Linked DNA regions of Lytechinus pictus. The protein of the gene in region 1 purifies or fractionates together with the protein of each later gene. This does not show direct contact. Links are inferred from orthologs where the notes say so. Each region holds a gene or a part of one and is shown in the gene's direction. Other genes may lie near its edges.

Region 1 (6,872 bases):
ATCAGAAATATATAAAGTGGTATGATGTTGCAATAACAAAATGGTAATAAGGCATATTTAATTTTTCACTATATTTCTTGTATTTTTGTACAGAGTGGAAGACACAACTTTTGACCATTTTTTTCCAAAGTATACATATGAAAATAATCTTTTTAATTTTTGTTCCTGAAACCATCATGTATGAAGGACTTAAAGTATTTAAAAATTCAAGAAAATATTGAATTTGAGAATTTGAATTTTTAAGCTCATGTCCACCAACCTATGGAATTGCCCCAATGAGTTTTGATACAATTCTGTTGCGTGCCCTCGCAAATCAAGATATTTCTGGTTATTTTCCTAAGTGGGCAAGACACAAAATCGCTTTTGCCTTGTTTGTATTTGTGGCAGTTTTATTTTTTTTGCTCAAAATAGAAAGATTTTATCAATTTTATATCATCAAAACATGAATAAATCCTTCATAAGTGGTTACCACTTTGCCCCCTACTCCATTTTCACCACATGATTTTGTTTTAATCATTGATTTAAATCACTTCCATTGAAATATGTACATGTGCAATGTACAACTCCAGGTTTATTGTACTAAATAAACTTGCAACTTTTTCCCAATAAGTCATAGCTTTGCAAATCAATGCTTTAAACAATCAAAAAGCTCCAAACATGGCTCAAATGCCAAAGGAGGTTTAAACAAACAAAGAGAAATGGAGTTTTCTCTATTAAACACATGATTTTCAGTCCTTGGCTTGAAAATCAAGAATGTTTCTCTTTCAAGAATGTGAGTCTCTGAGTCATGGAATTCTTCCAAAGAAACTGATCCTCATTTCATGTTTGAATAGGAACACTAACTTTGCAGTATTAGCTGTACCAAGGCAGTTCCTCAACTTGGACCAAACCAGTCAGTAGGAGCTCCCAACACGAGAGGATGCAGAAACAGCATCTTCGTCATGACTTACAATATGTTCTATATAAATTCTATTTTGACTGTCTTTAATTATGAAATAGAATAGAAGTTAATAATAATTTTAGTTGTGAAATGTATGATTTTGAAATGTATGATTTTGAGTTAAGTGTAAGGGTTTTATTTTTAGTCTTTCCACTTTGTTTTAGAAAATATTGTTTTAAAAAAAAAAAAAATTAAATCCAATTTTTTTTTATTAAAAAAAAAAAAAAAAAAAAAAAATTGTCAACCCTAAAAGAGAGAATAGAGAGAAAGACAAAAACGAAATAGATCTACGGAAAAAAGGAAGTAAGAAAAATGAAAGAAAGAAAAGTAAGGAAGAAGGAAAGAGAAATGAAGGAAATAATTTCTTAAAAGTTCAAATGGAAAGAAAGAAGGGAAAAAATAAAAAGTAAAGAATGAAAAGAAAAGAAGCTAGGGATGGAAATAAAAAAAATAAAAACAGGAAGGAATGAAAGACAAAAAAAAAAGGTACCGTGTAAGAATATGATTTGACAACTCATAATACCAGTGCAGTACCAGGTACAAGTACCGGTATCATCACATCACAACAGCGATTTTCACAAAGTGACTGGTGCACCACTAAATGTGCGTGTTGACTGCGGATCTCTACATGTAGCCTGGCTTTTGGCCTGGCCAATACGCTGCACCGTGATGATATTCAAAAGCTCTCACATAATTCCATTGCAATTTTGCTTTGCAATTGTAGATTTTGATACAACCTTCGTAGATACTTTTCAAACACCTAACCTTGGTTAGTCGTTTTAGGTATATGAATTCTTTGATTTGTGAATATGAAATCGTAATGTTTTTGTGAATTTTGGAAGTTGCAAGTGTGATTAACGTTGGCAGTAGAGGGCATGCGCATCACCCGTAATGAGAGTAAAGCGAAAGTTCCTCGTGTCATAAAAGTGCTACGTCTTGTCTGCGTGCTCCCAAATCCGTAGGGAGGCAGTACTCAATATGATCCGCAAATTTTGCCCATGTTTTTAGAAAGCAGACAGCACACACTTGCAAGTATGGCTGGTTGAGACCAAGCTTTTAAGCAAAATAGAGCCGTAAATACAATGTGGGTAAAATGGATAATACATAAAACTAAATTGGCTGGATTTCACCTCGTACAGAAAATTGAGGTAAAGAATTACATTTTCATATATATGAGAATGTGATCTCTTGTTAAAATTTGAAACAAAATTCTTTTTAAAGATGTTGGTCAAACTTCATTAATCTACATGTAGGCCTATTATTTATATTGGGTAATGTTTCTTTTGCATCAATACCTCTGGTTCTCTTCTTGTATTGTTATTTTACATGTACCATCTTGGCATGTTGTTTCACTTTTTCTTATTGATTTTTACACACACTAGCTGTTTGTTTTACTTTTTAATATGTAAATGTAAATTTTGAAAATTGTTTTATTCAATAAAATGCCTACATGTAGCTGTGAAGGGGGGGGGGCGTACTCGAGAAACAAACTAGTGTCTGTTTACTGAAAGCAGTGTAACAGTTTTAAATGAAATAACTAGATAACTCTGGCCTCAACATGCATGTAATCATGTGGTAAACACCATATTACTCCCACCATTCACATGTAAATTGAAATATACTAGAAACTTGTGAGCTATCCATTCCTTTATTTCAGAGTTCTCAAACTATGTTTAAGTACATGTTCGTCAAACCCATTTACAGATCCATTTTATCCTGTTCCATTTTCTGTTCTCTTTTTTCACCCAGGCTATGATGATTTTATTTGAACATGCATCAGGCTACGGCTTGTTTGCAGTCAAGGAGTTTGAGGAGGTCTCTGTCCTTCATCACCAAGTCCAGGAATCTGTGACAGACTTTGGCAAGTTTGCCTCTCTGATCAAGCTTCAGGCCTTCTCGCCTTTCAAATCAGGGGTCAACGCACTTGACAATATCAACAGCATCTCAGAAGGTAAATTTTGCCAATAATTTTTTTTTTTTTTTAATAAAAATAAAAATGAAAATGTTGATACTGATTTTGTTTAATAGCATTTCCTATACTTGATGTTTTGATAATACACAATGTAGCTCTTGCTCAAGGACATAAAAGCTGTGTTGTGGTTGAACCCCAACTTCCATTACTTGATCATGATGGCACAGACTCTAGGAAGTTCGTTCAACAGAGAAAGAAGCAATGAATAAAAAATTTAGAGCCTGTAGTGAAGTATATTTTGCAAATCATCAGGTGGTAGTATTTTGGTTGAGTTTTGTTGAAGACATGTGCATGGTCTGTGGCAGGAAATTACTGGAAATTTTACAACAGATCGATTCCTATTTACTTACAACAATGTGAATGATATTCGCCCTTCGATTCAGGCCTCTCAATCATTCTGAATTTGGAGGAAAGAATGTGATCTTTTTTTGCCATTTTGAGCCCCTGTTTGAGACAATTTTCCTACGTTTCTTGATAACTTTACTACACGATCCTATGAAAACTACTGTTTCCTGATTTTTTTAGCAAGATCATTCCTATTTTTCTTTAAATTGGTCAAGAGGTATGTTGATACCCTAGAAAATATAACCTCTTTTTTTGTGTTCTTTTATTGTGTCTCAGGTGTGATGACAGAAGACCTGAAACTCTTCCTGGAGACCAACATGCCAGAGAGCTCTAAGAAGAGGAAGAAGATCACATTGGGTGTGGCCGATGGGAAGATAGGTGCTTCTATCCAGGAGGAACTAGGTATCCCCTGTCAGACGGGAGGAGTCTTCCAGGAGATCGCAAGAGGTAAAAACTTTCTAATAGGGGACTGTCTTCAAAGGATGTCAAATGCACAGTGGAGGCATGTGATAGATCATAGATTAATCTTGAGCCTTGGCATTAGAATAAAAACAAATTGAAATGGTATTTTATGTTTTGATAAATTTTGACTTGATCTATCAGGCAGTGAGATCAATTAGAGATATCAGTAAGTATTTGTTCTTTGACAGCATGTTTGTGGTAAGGATGTTCTCAAGGAGAGAAACACAAAAAAATACTACATATTCAAATCGCCAAAATAAATTCTGGGAGCTATGAATAATTCAGACCTGTTGATGTTATTGACTGTGGCTCTTCGCCAGTAAATTATGTAAATTGAAAAGAGCATTAATTATCAAAATAGTAACCACATTCCTTTTTTTTTTACAAGGTCTGAGGTACCATTTCTACAGACTGGTCAAGGGACTGACCGCTCAGACAGAGGCTAAAGCACAACTTGGTCTAGGTCACAGCTACTCAAGGGCAAAGGTCAAGTTCAATGTGAACAGAGCAGATAACATGATCATCCAATCCATCTGTTTGCTTGATCAACTGGATAAGGATATCAATACATTTTCAATGAGAATCAAGTGAGTATTGTGTTGGGCTGTACATTGTGACAATATGTTAAAATATCACACTTAAATGAGTAGACAATACTGGGTAGACTACATAAAGGTAAACTTGCGTAAAGTCAATCTTCCATATGGCGAATATATGCATTAAAGTGATTGGTTAACATTGTTTTGACTTTTAAAAAATCTGAGCTAGAAGGTCACACTTGTCACCTGTGTCTGTGATATGTTACAAAAATGAAGCCCAGAAAAAATTGCGTTCGAAAATAATTATTTAGTGCTTCAAAAATTGAAATATAAAGTGACCAGAAACACCATCTTAATTTCATCCCATACACTTATGTGTACTATTTAGGCGTCTATTAGACACCCATTTACAAAATCGGGGTTTGCCTTGTAGTTTTAGCTTTTCATTCTCAATAACGGCTGTTTTCAGGGTTTATTAGTTCTAATACATGCACTTGTACACATGTTTCATCTTGGTTTGAGAATTTTTTAAATAGGCTGCTCACAAAGTTAAACAATACCTTTAAGCCGAAGCAGTTTCTTTGACAGATTTCGCAAAACACATGTCTTAGGAGCCACTTTTGTACTTATTCAAACATATGTCTGGGGCCCCCAATAGATTAAGTTGTTATAATAAATAATTGGAGTCTATCATTATGTTTCAGACATAAAAACCTGAGCTTAAATTGCTATAATAATAATAATAATAATAGGCATTTATATAGCGCCATCTATCTAGAAATATTCTATTCCGAGGCGCGTTGTTATTATTATTATTACCCCGGCTTTAGCTCGAGCTGCCTTTCAGCGCTTATGCATTCAAGGAATTAATCCTGCCGGGTACCCATTCACTTCACCTGGCTCGAGTGCAGCACAATGTGGATGATTTTCTTGCTGAAGGAAATTACGCCATGGCTGGGATTCGAACCCACGACCCTCTGTTTCAAAGTCAGAAGACTTATCCACTGGGCAACAACGCTCCACATGATAGTTAATCATAAATCATGGTCATCCATAGTACATTGCACTAGGGTCCATGGGATAGGGTCATCAAATTGTCCCTCTTAACTTATATTTTACATTTCCCTGGTAATATACATTATTGTCTGTTTGCCACCTAGTAATGTAAGTATGGTTTGCTGACCCTGTTTAACATTCATAGGGGATGATTATCATCTTGTCATTACTATATTATAGAATACACAATTTTTTTAAATCATCATGCCACCCTGTGCTTTATGATATATCCTTTAGTAAGATATTAATTTGCATTTGCCACCCTTTACCCATGTGTAATAAGGAGCTGGTGTATTGAATTTATCAAATGGTTAATGCTGAAATAAGTTGTCTAACTCTACATGTAGCTTCAGGTGTGATTGGTAGATCGCCCCCAAGTTGTTTGGATATGTACAATAAGTCTATACAAAATATATTGCTTTGTGATTTAAATATTTACCTTGAATTCTTTTACCCTTCCAGAGAATGGTACTCCTATCACTTTCCAGAACTTGTCAAAGTAGTTCCAGACAACGCACTCTACGCCAAGGTTGCCCACTTCATCAAGAACCGTAAGGAGCTTACTGATGAATCTCTTGAAGCCCTGGAGGAGTTGACCATGGACAGTGGTAAAGCTCAGGCCATCTTGGATGCATCACGCTCGTCTATGGGTCAGTATCTTATCATTGTGAATTCGATTCTTTGTTTGGCATGTAAAAGGGCAATATGGCTAATGTTATCATTTTCTTATAGAGGGTTAAAAGCCCTTTCTGGTGATGTCTTCAAAATTATGAAAAGTTCTGTATTTTTCCAGAAATTTGTTTTAAAGAAAGGGCAAATCGCTCCCAAATGCCACTTATGGCTAAAAGAAGGGGAATATTGAGCATGCCCTTATTCCACCCAGAAAACTGGCAAAGACATAGGCTGTAGAGAGGGCAATTTAAACTGGTATCATTTTTGTAATCGATAGTGACATATTGCCCTTTGAATTGCCAAACAATGAATTGTGAAAGTAAGAACTATTATGTCGATAGTTTATTGCTCAGATCAGTTAGGGAGGGAGGATGAATTCGATAGATAGCATGCTTTTGTAATTATACATTTGTTAGTACAGTTGGGTTTTTCTACCTTTGATGAAAAACCCTTAGTTGATATGGATGGTGGATTTTTCTCTTTCTATTAAAATCAATTTTTTGTTGGGGTGGACTTGTCCTTTAAATTTGCCTGAATAACCATTCTGAATTATTAGGCCATTTGAAAGAATTTTTCATTTACCTTTTTATGCTCTTGATCTTCAGCTGGTAGTGTTCATCTTAGTTTTACCACTACTCATCCTTTACATTTATCATTCAACGTTCAGGTATGGACATTTCTCCCATTGACTTGATCAACATTGAGAGGTTTGCTACCAGGGTGATTGCCCTTACAGACTACAGGAAGAGTTTACACACTTATCTCCAGGACAAGATGCACGCTGTAGCTCCTAACCTATCAGCACTCATCGGTGAACAGGTCAGTATAATTAAGTTGCTAGTCATATCGCAGGAAACTATAGCTAGCTTGCCAAAGTCAAATCTGT
Region 2 (6,872 bases), about 20 Mb from region 1:
TGACGAATTTATTTGACATTTCTGATTCCTCGAGCAGATATTGGGTAAAACAAGCTGTAGATCTACGAATATAGGATTCACAGTTGCATAATTGGTTTACGTTCATAACCGAAAACTCTCAGTGTGTTAACTACTATATATTCAAAGAAAATCTTCGTCTAGAAAGTTACCTCATCAATATGAATAAAAAAAGATAGAATCGCGTTTTTGTAGATTTCGTTTTGGAAATCATCGACACCCTTTTGCCTCAGGAAGATATGAAAATCGTCAAAGGAACATATTAAGGTTTTGTACATTATGCAACCTTCAATCAATTGGTGATGAATTTCACTATCTATTCGTTTAATGTCCTTCTTTTGCTAAAGAAAGAAAGTTTCATCTTAAAAAAATATTACACTGAAAGACCGAATACTGTAAAAATGAATCAGCCATTTTAATTGTGAAAAACCAGAAATCCGTTCCAACCTTGAAAAAATTGCAGGAAAATTATGCTTCGTTTCTCAATAAGTTACGCTCCAAATTCAATATTTTGAGCTGTTAATTGAATATTGGAGCCAATAATATGCTGATGCCATTACTTGCCTTTTATTAGACAGATGCATATGCTAATTACAATTTTAAAAAGCTGGGTTTTTAAGCTTCAAGGCATTAATCCATTATCTCATGTAGGCCTAATTATCAAATTTTCTAAACTTTGCTACGCTCGAAATATGATATTTTGAGCTTTTTGACTGTGGTTTAATAGCCAACGATGTGATGATGTCGTTATTTGGAATTTTTCTTTCTTTTTTTAATCATATGTTTTTGAAGCTTCAGGGTACTATATCATTTGTTACTATAATTTTTAATGCTAAAATTTGTATTTTTTATTGATCTTTTTTTAAATTTACTCTAAATGATTGGCAAATTACTTGATGAAATGACATTGATGATTTTGTACATTTTTATGATTGTTTCTCCAATCAGTACCCACTCTATTGGTGACCGTGGGAATAAATGTTATTGTCATTGTTTCGGTCATTGTCACCCTTGCCAAATATAAAAAAGCCGAGGGACACACCAAAATGCTAATTGACCGCTAAAGCTCGTCTCACACGATCCGAAATTGATTGTGATAACCAACAATTGATATGGATATTCCAACTAATATTACGGATCAGACTTCACAGTAGTGGCTTCTGAAATCGAAATTCAGTCCAGTTAGAGCCTCGACGCGATCCCTGAATGAATGAAATTCAATTCCAAATCGTATAATGACGTCATCATTGGCTGTGACTTGAAGCCGATTTGGACTTTACTCCGACCAAAGGGCTTGCCGCAAAGTAAAACAGTGATTTTAGTTTTCCTAACGATATGCAAAACTTTATTTAAAGTAATTTTACTTCTTGGAACTTTCATATTTGATGCATATATGCGTGTTTTTTTTTTTTTTTTTTAATCGCGTTTTTTTTTTTGAAAAATCGCGTCGCACCGGCCGGATCGCATATGTGAGCGCTATTGTGCTCTTAGAATATACCGCCCCTGAAGACAAGTCAAATGAAGGATAAAACAACTATGTATATATATTATTTATTTTTTTCTTATGTTACTAAGAAAAAAAGCGATATTGTATTGAATGGGTGTATTGAATGAATTCAATAAATAACAACTTAATAAAACAAAAAAATGCCTTCGTGATACGCAAAGCGCTGATTTGTCGCCAATCTCGTCAGAATGGTCCATGGAGATATCGATCATATATATTTTTTTTAAACAAGTAAACTAGTTACCAATAATGCGTATAGCATTTCCATTTATTTGAATGCAGTATAAAAGAGCTATGATATATAGAATAGATATGTAATATATCAAGAGGTGGATATATTTTTTAAAAACAAGTGCACACCAAGTTACCAATAATGCCTATAGCATTTCCATTTATTTTAAAGCAGGATAAAAGAGCATTACACATTAAATACCTTGCTCACAGGCATAGGTGCCGCGGTCGGGGTTCGAACCCCGGACTCACTCGGCCACGGCACCTCCACTTTTGTGGATATATATATATATATATACGGTATATATATATATATATATATATATTTTTTTTTTTTTTTAACAAGTGCACACCTAGTTACAAATAACGCGTAAAGCATTTCCGTCTATTTGAATGCAGGATAAAAGAGCATAGGTGTCGTAGCCGGGGATCGAACCCCGGACTTTCCTTGTATAGCCAGGCGCCTTAGACCACTCGGCCACGGCACCTCCATATATCTCGTCATGAAACATAAAACGCCCTCTAACGACGTGACCTTACATGGCGATTGGAGGTCGAGGCCACTGAACTAGATCTCGAAGAGAGAAAACATCACAAATCAAGACATAATCTGTGAAAGTACTCTTATTTGGACTACTCTAGAGACTTTATACTTTTCTTGAGTTGCTGATTCGTGAGTTCGGTATTTAATAATTATTTTTATAGATTTCTATTCAATAAAAATGTTGTCTAATTTTTAATGGCGCTAATGCACTTTCGCACCAGGCTCCGACAAACAAGCGGCGTCCATATGACAAGATCTCCGTTTCGCCGGCGTGGCTGGCTGGCATGGCCATGTGATGGATGGGGGTACGGCTTGCGCGTAGTGTAAGCCGGCTGCAGTTGTACATGTATGATGTTGTGCTTATTTCTTTGCCTTGCCTTGGCTTTGGGTGCAATGAAAGAAAGTGTGTAGACTACATGTATGGCAAAGTTCCCCAAGTCTGCACATAATGAATTTTGGGCATTTCATGTGAGACTGAGACTGGAGGCGTGGAGCCTCACAAACAATGCATCCTTTTTCATCAAAATCCCTGAAATGCTGAAGTGAATCACTTGCATTTTGCAAAGTCTAAGCGAATGGGGTGTAGACTCTAACAATAACATTACACACTCATTCAATGAACAAGGTTATGAATATGATATAACCTTGTTCTCGGTTATATCTCCATGTAACGTTAGGGAGTTCGGTGGAAATGCCACTTTGACTTTCAGAATTTGTATCTGTCTGTGCACCCATGTATAAAACAAATATGAAGCCATTAAAGGAGGAGGAAAAACCCTATAGAAACCTATAGTATACCATGAGAAACTTTGAAGTTCTATGAATAAAATGATGTATAGTTCAAGGGCATGCCTTGCCCCGCATAGCAGCGCATTGCACTTTTAAAAAAAGTATTAGGCCTACACAGTCCCATTCATTGCATTTTGTGTAAGTTATGAAAATCTACTTTTTGCTGTAAAAAAATCTGCACATTCTCCCGTTTAAACAGACATATCTCTGTCAATATTTGACATGAATTGATTTATTTGACAAGCTTTCCAATGGTACCAAATTTGTTGGGATTCCTTCAAGATTTCAAAAAGAAACTGTCTCCCCCACCCCACTCTAGGCGACACCCCAATACTTACCCGTGCTAATAAACTGGGACTCCACTCACGCGCGTTTGGGCCTCCCTAGCTTAGAACTAAGCACTAATATCACCTTAAAAACTAAATCTACAAGGTATGTATAATCTATTTACAAATTTAATAATGTTTAATCGGTACTCACCGGTTCTTTTGTTGCATTTTCAGACCATTTCTCACAATTCTTCGTAAATATTTGCGGCAAATTTTGTCGCCATAGACAGCTTAGCGTCCATCTTTATTGATAAATGGAGCGCCCTTTACGATAGTTGTTAATGCCGCGGAGAAATCGTTAGGCATTTTGGCCTGTGTTCAAGGCGTTCTTTCTGTTTTATTTTTTATATTGAAGATTGTGCATTTGTTGAATAGCGCCGTCTACGTCAGGTATGAGATCGAGTGTATAAATACACTCTTCCAAAATAATTATGATTCCGACCTGGCGCTGTTTAACTTCAATCTCTTTCACCTAAATTAGCGATGAATGCTAGCATTATAAAATATATATTATTAACGTCTGACGAAAAGAATAACCAACCGATCAGCTGACGAGAACGCGAATCACGTGATCTTCATATCAGCTTCGATCGCGAGTCAGAAGAGAAGAGCAGCTGCCCAGAAAATCAGGAAAAAGCTGTGAAAATGTAAGTTCCCCTTCATTTCTTTCATTTTTTGTTGTTGCTAACGATGCATTTACACTATAAAATTATAATTTAAATAAGAGAAAGGAATTATAGCTTGTACTTGTGATATAATGTTTAAATATCCTGTTCTCAGAGATTTCTAACCAAAAATACTACTGATGTCGCCTATGAGGTCCATACATGTAATGTTGGACCTCATTGGTACTAGGAGTGCCCCACCCAAGCCTTTAATATTTTTTTTGACAGAACAAAATCTGCATATTTTCCCCTGTAAATTAGAATAATCTCCGTCAATATATCAGACAATGAGTTGAATGAAGCACCAATATTTTTCTTATTTTACAAGCTTTCCAATGATATGAAATTTGTTGGGATTCTTCAAGATTTCAAAGTCACCGAACTCCCTACTCCATGTGTGGCAAAATAAGGGTGGCAATGTTTGGCTTATTTTCTCTTTTTCTTTGGGACAAATGCTTGATTTTTTTACACTGACAGTTTCCATTACACCTATTTTTCATACAACTTGGCTCTTAAGTAAATTTGATTCTTTAAATTATTTTTTTCTTAATTAAAAATAGAGATCAAAAATGAAAATTTTCTTGCCTACTTTCCACCAATAGAGGACGTACACAAAAATATGCCCAAAAATCAAGTTTTTGAGCGCTCTGGTGAATACAAAAATTATTCCCAAGTTACTAATGAAGAATAAATTGCAACTGTATGGAAATTAGTAATTTTGGTCACAAAAGTGATATTTTAATGATTTTTTTAAAGTGTGTGCTCTGTACAACATTGGCATACCATAGTCCTACCTGTAGATTCCCCACAGGCAGGATGGTTGCAGTGAACAAGTGACATTACAGTGTTTCCACAGATCCAAAATAAATGGAATCGCCTGCGCCTGTATTTTTCTTTAAAATTTTATGAGATATTTGGTAGAGTGAGACCACCACATATCGACCACCTCTTTTGAAACCGACCACCTTGCGCGCATTAAAATTATTGCATATTACAAACGATACGCAAGGGGGAGTAGGCGCAGTGTCCGTAGGAACGGTAAGAATCGATTTACAACAAAAAATGTAAAAATTTAGTAGAATTCATCAAAATTGCATTGACCAGACCCGAACCCCGCCGAAAAACAGTTGTTCATACCAAAAAATCTGATAGTAAACGGCTTTAGAACAAAATCCGTCGTCAATCGTCGAATCATGTGCTTGAGCTCGCAGTGGAAGTAGTGAGACAATCATTTAGCATGTTGACATCATAGAACTGATTTGGAAGAGTCAAAATATTTCGCCAACGCGACAAGAATCAGCCGTAAACTTAGTGTATCGCGGGTGGTCGGTTTCAAAAGACGGGTGCGAATGAGCAAATGTAAAATCGTCACATTCGTTGTTCGCCGATATATACGCGAATAGAATCTGAGTCGTCGATCGAAATGTGGGAATCTGATCTGCTCAATTTTCTACACAAATTAGAGGAAATCTAGGTGAAAGTAATAAATATTTTTGCAGATACGATGCTTAGAAAATTAGTTGGTCGATAAGGGTAGTTCCAACCATACACTTACTCATCATAATAATATAAGGAACATTATCAACTGAAAGATAATGAAGATTTTGTGAAATAAAAATGAATTCATGTTAAATCCTAATTCAAATCGTTAGGTGCACAGACTTGGGGACCACCATCATACAAGTAGTTAGATTAAGACTAATATTGTGTGATTATAGTTAGAAGTCTATTTTCTGTTAGGCGAGGGATATGTCCCGCCGATTGTTCATTGACCTGTGATCTATGAGAATTATTTTCATTTTATTTTCCTTTGCGACTTTGCTCGGAAGATGCAGCATTCGTTTATCTTTCTAATAAAAATCACTCAGTTTATTTTAAAGCAGTAACACCTCAAAACCTTAAACATGTTCCAAACGATCACGCATGTTGGCGACTTCCATTCCAATGCATTCGTCTTTGTGACTTTGTCAGGAAGATGCGCGCGACTGCGAACAAAATTTTGATGTATTCCTTTGTTTTTAAACATCGCCGATTCGATTTTCAATTCGATTTCAATTTTAGAAGCTCAACTGCCGATCTGATTTTTGATCCGATTTACAACATTAGATATGCTCTGCTGCTGAGAGTGAGAGTGCACCGAGCGAGACTTTGTTTGGCTCGGCGCCGCAGTATCCCCTCTGCCAGTGTCAATAAAGTTAGACCGATGACGGCCATTGGGCTTGTAATGCTTGAGGTTTGACGGAGAAAACAAAGCGTTTGAATGAAAATTAATAGGCCTAGATCTATTATAACTTAAGAAAACAATCAGCTTACCAATTTGAAATAGAATCTAAAACTGCGATTTGATATCAAAAAATTAAATTCCAAAGAGCCGGTACGTGGTTCCAACGAGAGACCGTCTTCATGTATGAGGCATGTCCATTTTTTCTCTTTTTTTTAGGGCAGTGTTTGTATGGCACCATGAGTGAGCTGAAATCATTTCTCTACAGCTTCCTAGGGAAGAAGAAGTTAACTCCCGATTATGACATTCGCAACTCTGGTCCAAAACATCGCCAGAGATTTCTCTGTGAGGTAAGCACATGTGTATAATTTTGTTTATATGTGATCATCCAAATTGAAACCCACAATAAGAGGCTAAATACAAATTTTTAATTGTTGAAACAGATCCTATACTTTAAAATATTTTGGGTTTGATCAAATAAAACCTGAATCAGAGTGAGAATAGAAAAAGGAGAAAACTGTCTTAGAAGTTTGGAGTTCAATCATGCATAGACGCTCAAGATCTGTTG
Region 3 (6,872 bases), on another chromosome or scaffold:
ATTCCCCACTGGCTTACCTAGGATTTTCCAGAAGGGGGGCAAATTTTTAGGAGGATATTTCGTCCGCGAAAAAATTTGACATGCAAAAAAAAAAAAAAAAAAAAAAAACGTCTTCAACCAAAAAAAGGGATTCCTGACCAGAAAAAATTTGACAAGCAAAAAAAAGGGTCTTCAGATTCAAAAGGGGGGGGGGGCACGTCCCCTGTATCAGTTGTGACTCGTCAGGGGGGCAGGGATACGTCCCCTGCATGAGTTGTGACTCGTCAGGGGGGCAGTCTGCTCACCCTGCCCCCCCCCCCTTAGGTACGCTAGTGCAATTCCCCCATTCCCAGATCATATTCGGATTGCCCATCTGTAACATGAAATACATAATCATTTTGACATTTTTCAATTAGTGGTCATATATTCGTCTAGATTTTATATTACATAGTTTCTGAACATGCCCAAATATCATCAATTCAATTTTAAAGTTGTCTGTATCCACTTCCATACAATCACCTGTATCCACTCTTTTGTTATTACTAAAAAAATTTGAATTCTGAGCAAGTTTTCAGATGAAAATTTCAGATTATACCAATATGAAACTGGTCTTAATTGACCTCCAACTATTATATCCGAGACCTTAACTATACCTTTCTGAAATAATTCATTATAAAAAAAGGTCTTATTATTGAGGCATATACGCTTGTTATTAAAAATAATGGTATTACTTTTCCCTCCAAATGTCTACATTTATCCAATTCGTACCATGCCTTCAGCATTTCTATGTAAAATAATGGTATACCTTTCAAATTCATTTTACTGGTATCATAATTATACAGAAGTATGATTCGACCACCCAAAGAACTAATAAAAAATATTCGAAGGTTGCTTTCCAACCCGAACTTTGGCTCTCCGTCTAGCACACGTTTAATCCACATTATTCGTTGGGAGACCTCAAAATTTGAGCTTTTCAGTCCTCCAACCACTAGCGTACCTGAGGGGGGGGGGAGGGCAGGGGGGCAGACTGCCCCCCCTGACGAGTCACAAGCAAAAAAAAAGGAAGCGAAAAAGGGAAAGAAAAGAGGAAAAAAGGAAAGAGAGAAAAAAGGGGGAAGGGGAAAAAGAAGGAATAGTATAAGCGAAAGGGGAAACAAAAACTGGACTGCAGTATGTCGGAAAAAAATGATAAACTGTCGGGCACACAGGGCTGTTCCAACTGATTCGGTTTTTAGTTTCACCATCTTGGTCGGTATATGTCAATTAAACTGTACACTTTTATCGGTAAATTGTGATTTTTACGCAATGCGACTTTCAAAGCTCTCTGTACCGATAGTGAGGACGGACTGGGCTGACCAGGGACAGGAAAAGGGTAGAGAACAACTTTTAGGTAATATAATTACAACAATAACAATTTTGGTTGGGGCTGCACGCTTGCATTTTTTTTCACTAAGTTTTTATCATTTAAAGTGGGTTTACATTTCATTTTTCATTTAATACTTGTTTCTCCACACCAGTGGCGTACCTAGGATTTTTCACAGGGGGGGCAAAATTGGCCGCCCAAAAATTTGACAAGCAAAAAAAAAAAAAAAAAAAAAAAAAAAAAAAAAAAAAGGGGTCATCAATACAAAATAAAGATTTTCGTACCAGAAAAAATTTGTCAAGCAAAAAAAAAAAAAAGGGGTCATCAATACAAAATAAAGATTTTCGTACCAGAAAAAATTTGACAAGCAAAAAAAAAAAAAAAAAAAAAAAAAAAAAAAAAAAAAAGGTCTTCAAAATCTCGTCAGGGGGGGCAGAGTGCCCCCCCTGCCCCCCCCGTAGGTACGCTAGTGCTCCACACTTTTCCCAAGCTTGACAATGATTAACAAAATGAAAATCAAGCCTAAGCCATTTCATGTAAATCACAGCTCAGTGTAAAGCAAATATCGTCACGATGGCCTCGGTGTGTGGGGTGGGTTGAAATGCACTTTTTGAAGTGTTTTGGGCAAAGAAACAAGTCAAGAATGGTAAAAGATATCTTCAAATCAATTTTACTAGCTAAATTCCACGTGTTCTTCATGATTAAGGTCTACTTTTATTCGCATAACTATTTCAAAGTTCTGGCAAATCATTTTTCACTAATTTTTCAAAAGTAAGTGGTGCTCACTCAAGCAGAAATATTTTTCGACAGTTATATCGTCATTTGCTTAAATGGATCTGTACCAATGTTAAAATGTGGAAAAATCTTCAGGATATTACAAATGTATAATTTTACAGGATTTTTTCAAAGTGTAAACTTTTTTTTGATACGCACTGTCCATGATGCCATGACTGTTAAACATGGTTGTTGGGGAAAAAATAGCGCCACCTAAGTACAAAATTTACCCAATGAATAGAGTCCTTTTCGACTTGGTCCAACATGGCAGATAGGTACGAAAAGAGTATTCCCTTGAACAATCTCCTCAAATCCAGTTAATCCTTTATTATTTTACAGATTGTACCGTTGGTTCTTATGCTTGAAATGATCATGATCAATGCACTCAAAATATTTCCATTGATGTTGAACTATTTTTTCTAAATTTTGTGTTACATGTTCACACCAATGAATTAGCTTAGGCCGAAGAGCACCCGTACGGAACCCAAGAACGATGCAGTGTGTGTACGGTCGCGTACGGTACATGGTCATGGGCAGGCATTTCACTTTATTATGATATTATGATATGATGCATAATGATGGGCCTTATCCTGAAATAAGTCACCTCTTCTCGTGTGTGTGCGCTCGTTGACGTTCATCATGGTTGTGACTTATGACTTTTTAGTTTTGTCCTACACAAAGTCAATAACATTAACGTCAGTCGTCATTAACAATGTCTATGAATGATTAGGGGCCTAAAAAAAAAGCTGTTTGTAATGTAAGTTAAGAGCGACTTCACGAACGACTGGTGTCTAGTGGTGATCATATCTTACGCATTTGATAATCACCAATGAATATTTAATGGTGATCAGTAGAGGCGCACGGCCAATATTGGAGACTGTCTCCAATGTGGGAGATTATCTCCAACTCCAAGAGTCCAATATCAGAGACTTTTGTAAGACAGTCTCCAGTTTTGGAGTCCAATTTCCTTTGTTTACATTTGCTGCAAAAGGATTACCTTGGCGGCAAATAAAAATGTGATAAGCAGATTCCTCATGAAAAATTACCCCTTTTCACCGTCTACTTTAAATATTCACCGTCTACTTTTGTTTTGATAAGGATTTTTGTTGTTAATCACACACAAAACAAAGAAATGGGCTTCTGACCTCAGTGAGACAAAATTTTGGGTGGAAAAAATCATGCTTTTGTTAGTGTTGTTTCTGTTGTCCTTTTGCAAAGCAAGTCTCCAAATAATGTGGGAGATTGTCTCCCCTATTGGAGAGAGTCTCCCATATTGGCCGTGCGCCTCTACTGGTGATAGGGCCTACCAATTACAAGAAAGGATCGCCAGTCGTTCTTAAACTTAAAGTCCCTCTAACTTACGAACAGCTTTATGAAACACCCACCAGTTCATTCACTGCCGTTCATTTTGTCAGCGCTGGTGACTTCTTTCAACTCCCATTGACCTTGTAGTACACACCGAGTGCACGCACACGAGAAGAGAGGTGACTAGCTAAGTAATATCACGATAAAGTCGACCTTCACTCCTTCAGAATATAGTCTTATAGAGTCTAAGAGTAAGAAGACTACAATATATCCAACTGAATATTTCAAAAAAAACAAAAGAGTAGGGTGTCTGAACTGAAGCCACACTGAAAAGTGTCAGCAAAACAGGCTGATTTAGGGGAAAATATGGCACATTTTTTCGGGAAATTTAGGCTGCTGAATTGCGATCTGAATTCATTTCTAACTAATGTTTGGCCTTTGGGATGTATGGAAAGAGAAAATTCAGGGACTTCTGACAGTACAGTTGTAAGGGCAAGTTTATATGATCATTTTAAATAATGATTTAGAGATAAATTGCAAACCCTTATTTGTGTGTGTGTTGAGATTACCATTTCCCACTTTGGGGGAGTACAGCTTACTAGAAAACAGATATTGCAGTTCCCAGCAGTTTTCTAATTATGACTGAGTTATTATATATTGCCCAACATCAAAATACCTAAACAGATACCTATTCATGAGCATAAATGTTTAATGTTTCATTTGTTAAATCATGAGCTTAGTTCTTTTCATCTGTTTGCATACTGTAAGTGTAACTAAAATTGGAAGAAATCATGTATCATGGGACTGGTAAACGCTTTTCTAACATGAATATCAGTATGTGGGACTAGGGTGAAATTTCAGATCAGATAATTTGGTATCTTTGGAAGAGTTTTAAAAGGTGAAGAAATAAAATATCGTCATTGGTTTTAACATATTTTGTCAATATTATACTAATAATCAACATACACGAAAATCATGTTTAAGAATTATTTGTCCGGGGGTCGAAGTAAAGGTCAAAGGTCATTACCTTATAATCGCTCCAATACATTATTTGATGCATGTTTTGGATTCCTCTTAATTTCCTTTTGAATGGTACCAGCTTCGTGAAAATTTGTCAATACGTTACGATGCAATGGCCATTGAAAGTTGAAGGTCACGCCCATTTTTGTCAAAACAAGGAGAAAAGGGCGGGCCGTAGCGCGAGAACCGACGGACCGATTGGACTAATTTTTTGTTTTGTGCTTGGGCCATGGGGAATTTTATGTGTACCAATTTACAATAAAAACTTGAGAGGGTTGGGTGCAACCACTGGGTGAATCCAGATGGAATGACCTCATGCGTTAACTATGGGAAAATGAATTTCTGTTTGGCACAATTTTATTCACTTTGCCGCAATTTTCATTGTGATCTGATTTCCAAATCATTTAAAAAATCATACCATCAGAAAGAGCATCAAAATTCCTAGTAGGCACTTTGGGCAAGTTTTTGGCATCAAGAATACATTTATTTATAGCAGCTCTCAGAATAAAAAAATTTGGATTTGTGTGTGTCCATTTCTTAACTACACAGTCTATGGCAGGAAAATGCTGAAAATTTACCTGATTTCATTCTTTTTTGCAACCATTAGGCCCCTAGATCTACAAAAAAAATTACATTTCTGTCAGTCTGAAGGTTATTTCCATTAAAATTCACAAAGAAAATGTGATATTTTCTTGAAATAAGAAAAATAACTTTTTTCTCCAGACACCCTAACAATAGCTTTCTGTTCAATTGAAATTGAGTAAAATGAAATACTGGTATCTGTAGATCAGTAGAGGCACACGGCCAATAATGGAGACTCTCCAATATTAGGGAGACGATCTCCCATATTGGAGACTTTGCAAAAGAACAAAAGAAACAACACCAACAAAAGTATGATTTTTTTCCATCTGAAATTTTGTCCCACTGAGGTCAGAAGCCCATTTTGTGTGTGGATGACAACAAAAATCCTTATAAAAACAAAAGTAGAGGTCTAGACGATGAATTTTTAAAGTAGACGGTGAAAAGGGGTAATTTTTCATGAGGAATCTGCTTTTCACATTTTTATTTGCTGCCAAGGTAATCCTTTTGCAGCATATGTAAACAAAGAAAATTGGTCTCCCAAACTGGAGACTGTCCATGAAATTGGATACCCAAATTCTTTAGAAAAGTCTCTGATATTGGCCGTACGGCGTGCGCCTCTTCTGTGTAGATCCTGTAGTCTCTTCGATGTCATTTTTTGTATGGTTCTGATTCTCCTATTAGGAGATGTGTAAAAAGAAAATTTAGGCTAATTATTATTATGATGCCCCTTTGTATTTATGAACTTCCATAAATTTTGGGAAAATGTCCGCTTTTGCTTGGAATCTCCCTAAGGTCGATTGGCCTATTGTATTTTTGTTCTTGAGTTCTGCATGACAAGTGATCCTTTATGATAATCCTGCATGATTCATAAATGGCAAGTCACCCCAGGATGATCTGATTTGTGATTTTAAAATATAATTGTTTGTCATTCATTTTTATTTCTTATAGTGCGCCAAAGAAGCTGCCAACGGCACCAGAATCCCTTCTGAAGAAGAGGAAGAACCGACAAACTGAGAAGGCTAAGAGGGCACAAGCTCGCCTCCTTGCCAAGAAGGTGAAATATTAACTTTTTGTATTTTTAGGCTTTATAATGAATTTGGTTTGCCAAATCTAAAATTTCATCATAGTCTCAAGAACACTATTTTGGGGGCTGCATTGTATGTATCTAGGAGCGAGTGGTTTTATAAAAAGAAGTAATATTTATTTTGATTGGGTACCCGATCAAAATTGAATTTTGATGTAAAAATTTAAAGTCCCGTAACACAAAGGTTAGCGATTAATCGTACGCTTGATTTCTACAGTTGATTATACATTGTAGCGAATGGAATCAATCGTAGAAAGATGTTCTACGATCATTGCTGAGCTTTGTGTTATCCTTCACATCAACTTTTTCAGGGCATCCATGTTCGTCATGAATTGGAATAGTGGAATGGGATTTAAAGAAACACAAGACAGGCTTTAAACTAAGGATTAAAAAATCTTAAACTTACAGGAGAATGCCAAGAAGAGACGTGTGATCTTCAAGCGTGCAGAAGACTACATCAGGGAGTACAAGAAGCGTGAGCGTGACGCTGTACGTCTTCATCGCCAGGCTCGCAAGCATGGAAACTTCTATGTTGAAGATGAACCCAGACTAGCATTTGTCGTCAGGATCAGAGGGTGAGTGTCCCCACACTATCAAATAAGCTGGAATATGAAGTGTCATTTCAGGGCTTAGATTAATCCGAGGCCACATTCACACTTGTAATATAAATGTGCAAGGTAGGACGTTAGTAATACTAACCTGACCCAACAAATGTGCTACAGTATACTGGGGGATTTAGCTCCTGTGCAGTTTAGATTACTTTAT

The links.
Region 2: the proteins of nucleolar protein 56-like (region 1) and ATP-dependent RNA helicase A-like purify together in Homo sapiens (affinity purification with mass spectrometry; 3 studies listed by BioGRID and IntAct, with this or other methods). This does not show direct contact. The link is inferred for Lytechinus pictus from reciprocal best matches to the Homo sapiens genes NOP56 and DHX9.
Region 3: the proteins of nucleolar protein 56-like (region 1) and large ribosomal subunit protein uL30-like purify together in Homo sapiens (affinity purification with mass spectrometry; 3 studies listed by BioGRID and IntAct, with this or other methods). This does not show direct contact. The link is inferred for Lytechinus pictus from reciprocal best matches to the Homo sapiens genes NOP56 and RPL7.

Annotation. Positions count from the first base shown.
Region 1 is NC_087256.1:9,009,953-9,016,824, reverse strand, and holds the start of nucleolar protein 56-like, read left to right. Parts: upstream 1-2,693; 5' UTR 2,694-2,695; coding exon 2,696-2,891; intron 2,892-3,533; coding exon 3,534-3,704; intron 3,705-4,107; coding exon 4,108-4,306; intron 4,307-5,776; coding exon 5,777-5,964; intron 5,965-6,653; coding exon 6,654-6,805; intron 6,806-6,872. UniProt on the Homo sapiens protein: Involved in the early to middle stages of 60S ribosomal subunit biogenesis. Required for the biogenesis of box C/D snoRNAs such U3, U8 and U14 snoRNAs. Part of the small subunit (SSU) processome, first precursor of the small eukaryotic ribosomal subunit.
Region 2 is NC_087256.1:29,479,253-29,486,124, forward strand, and holds the start of ATP-dependent RNA helicase A-like, read left to right. Parts: upstream 1-2,276; 5' UTR 2,277-2,438; intron 2,439-6,523; 5' UTR 6,524-6,543; coding exon 6,544-6,654; intron 6,655-6,872. UniProt on the Homo sapiens protein: Multifunctional ATP-dependent nucleic acid helicase that unwinds DNA and RNA in a 3' to 5' direction and that plays important roles in many processes, such as DNA replication, transcriptional activation, post-transcriptional RNA regulation, mRNA translation and RNA-mediated gene silencing.
Region 3 is NC_087245.1:41,426,615-41,433,486, reverse strand, and holds the start of large ribosomal subunit protein uL30-like, read left to right. Parts: upstream 1-2,337; 5' UTR 2,338-2,380; coding exon 2,381-2,391; intron 2,392-5,971; coding exon 5,972-6,077; intron 6,078-6,515; coding exon 6,516-6,682; intron 6,683-6,872.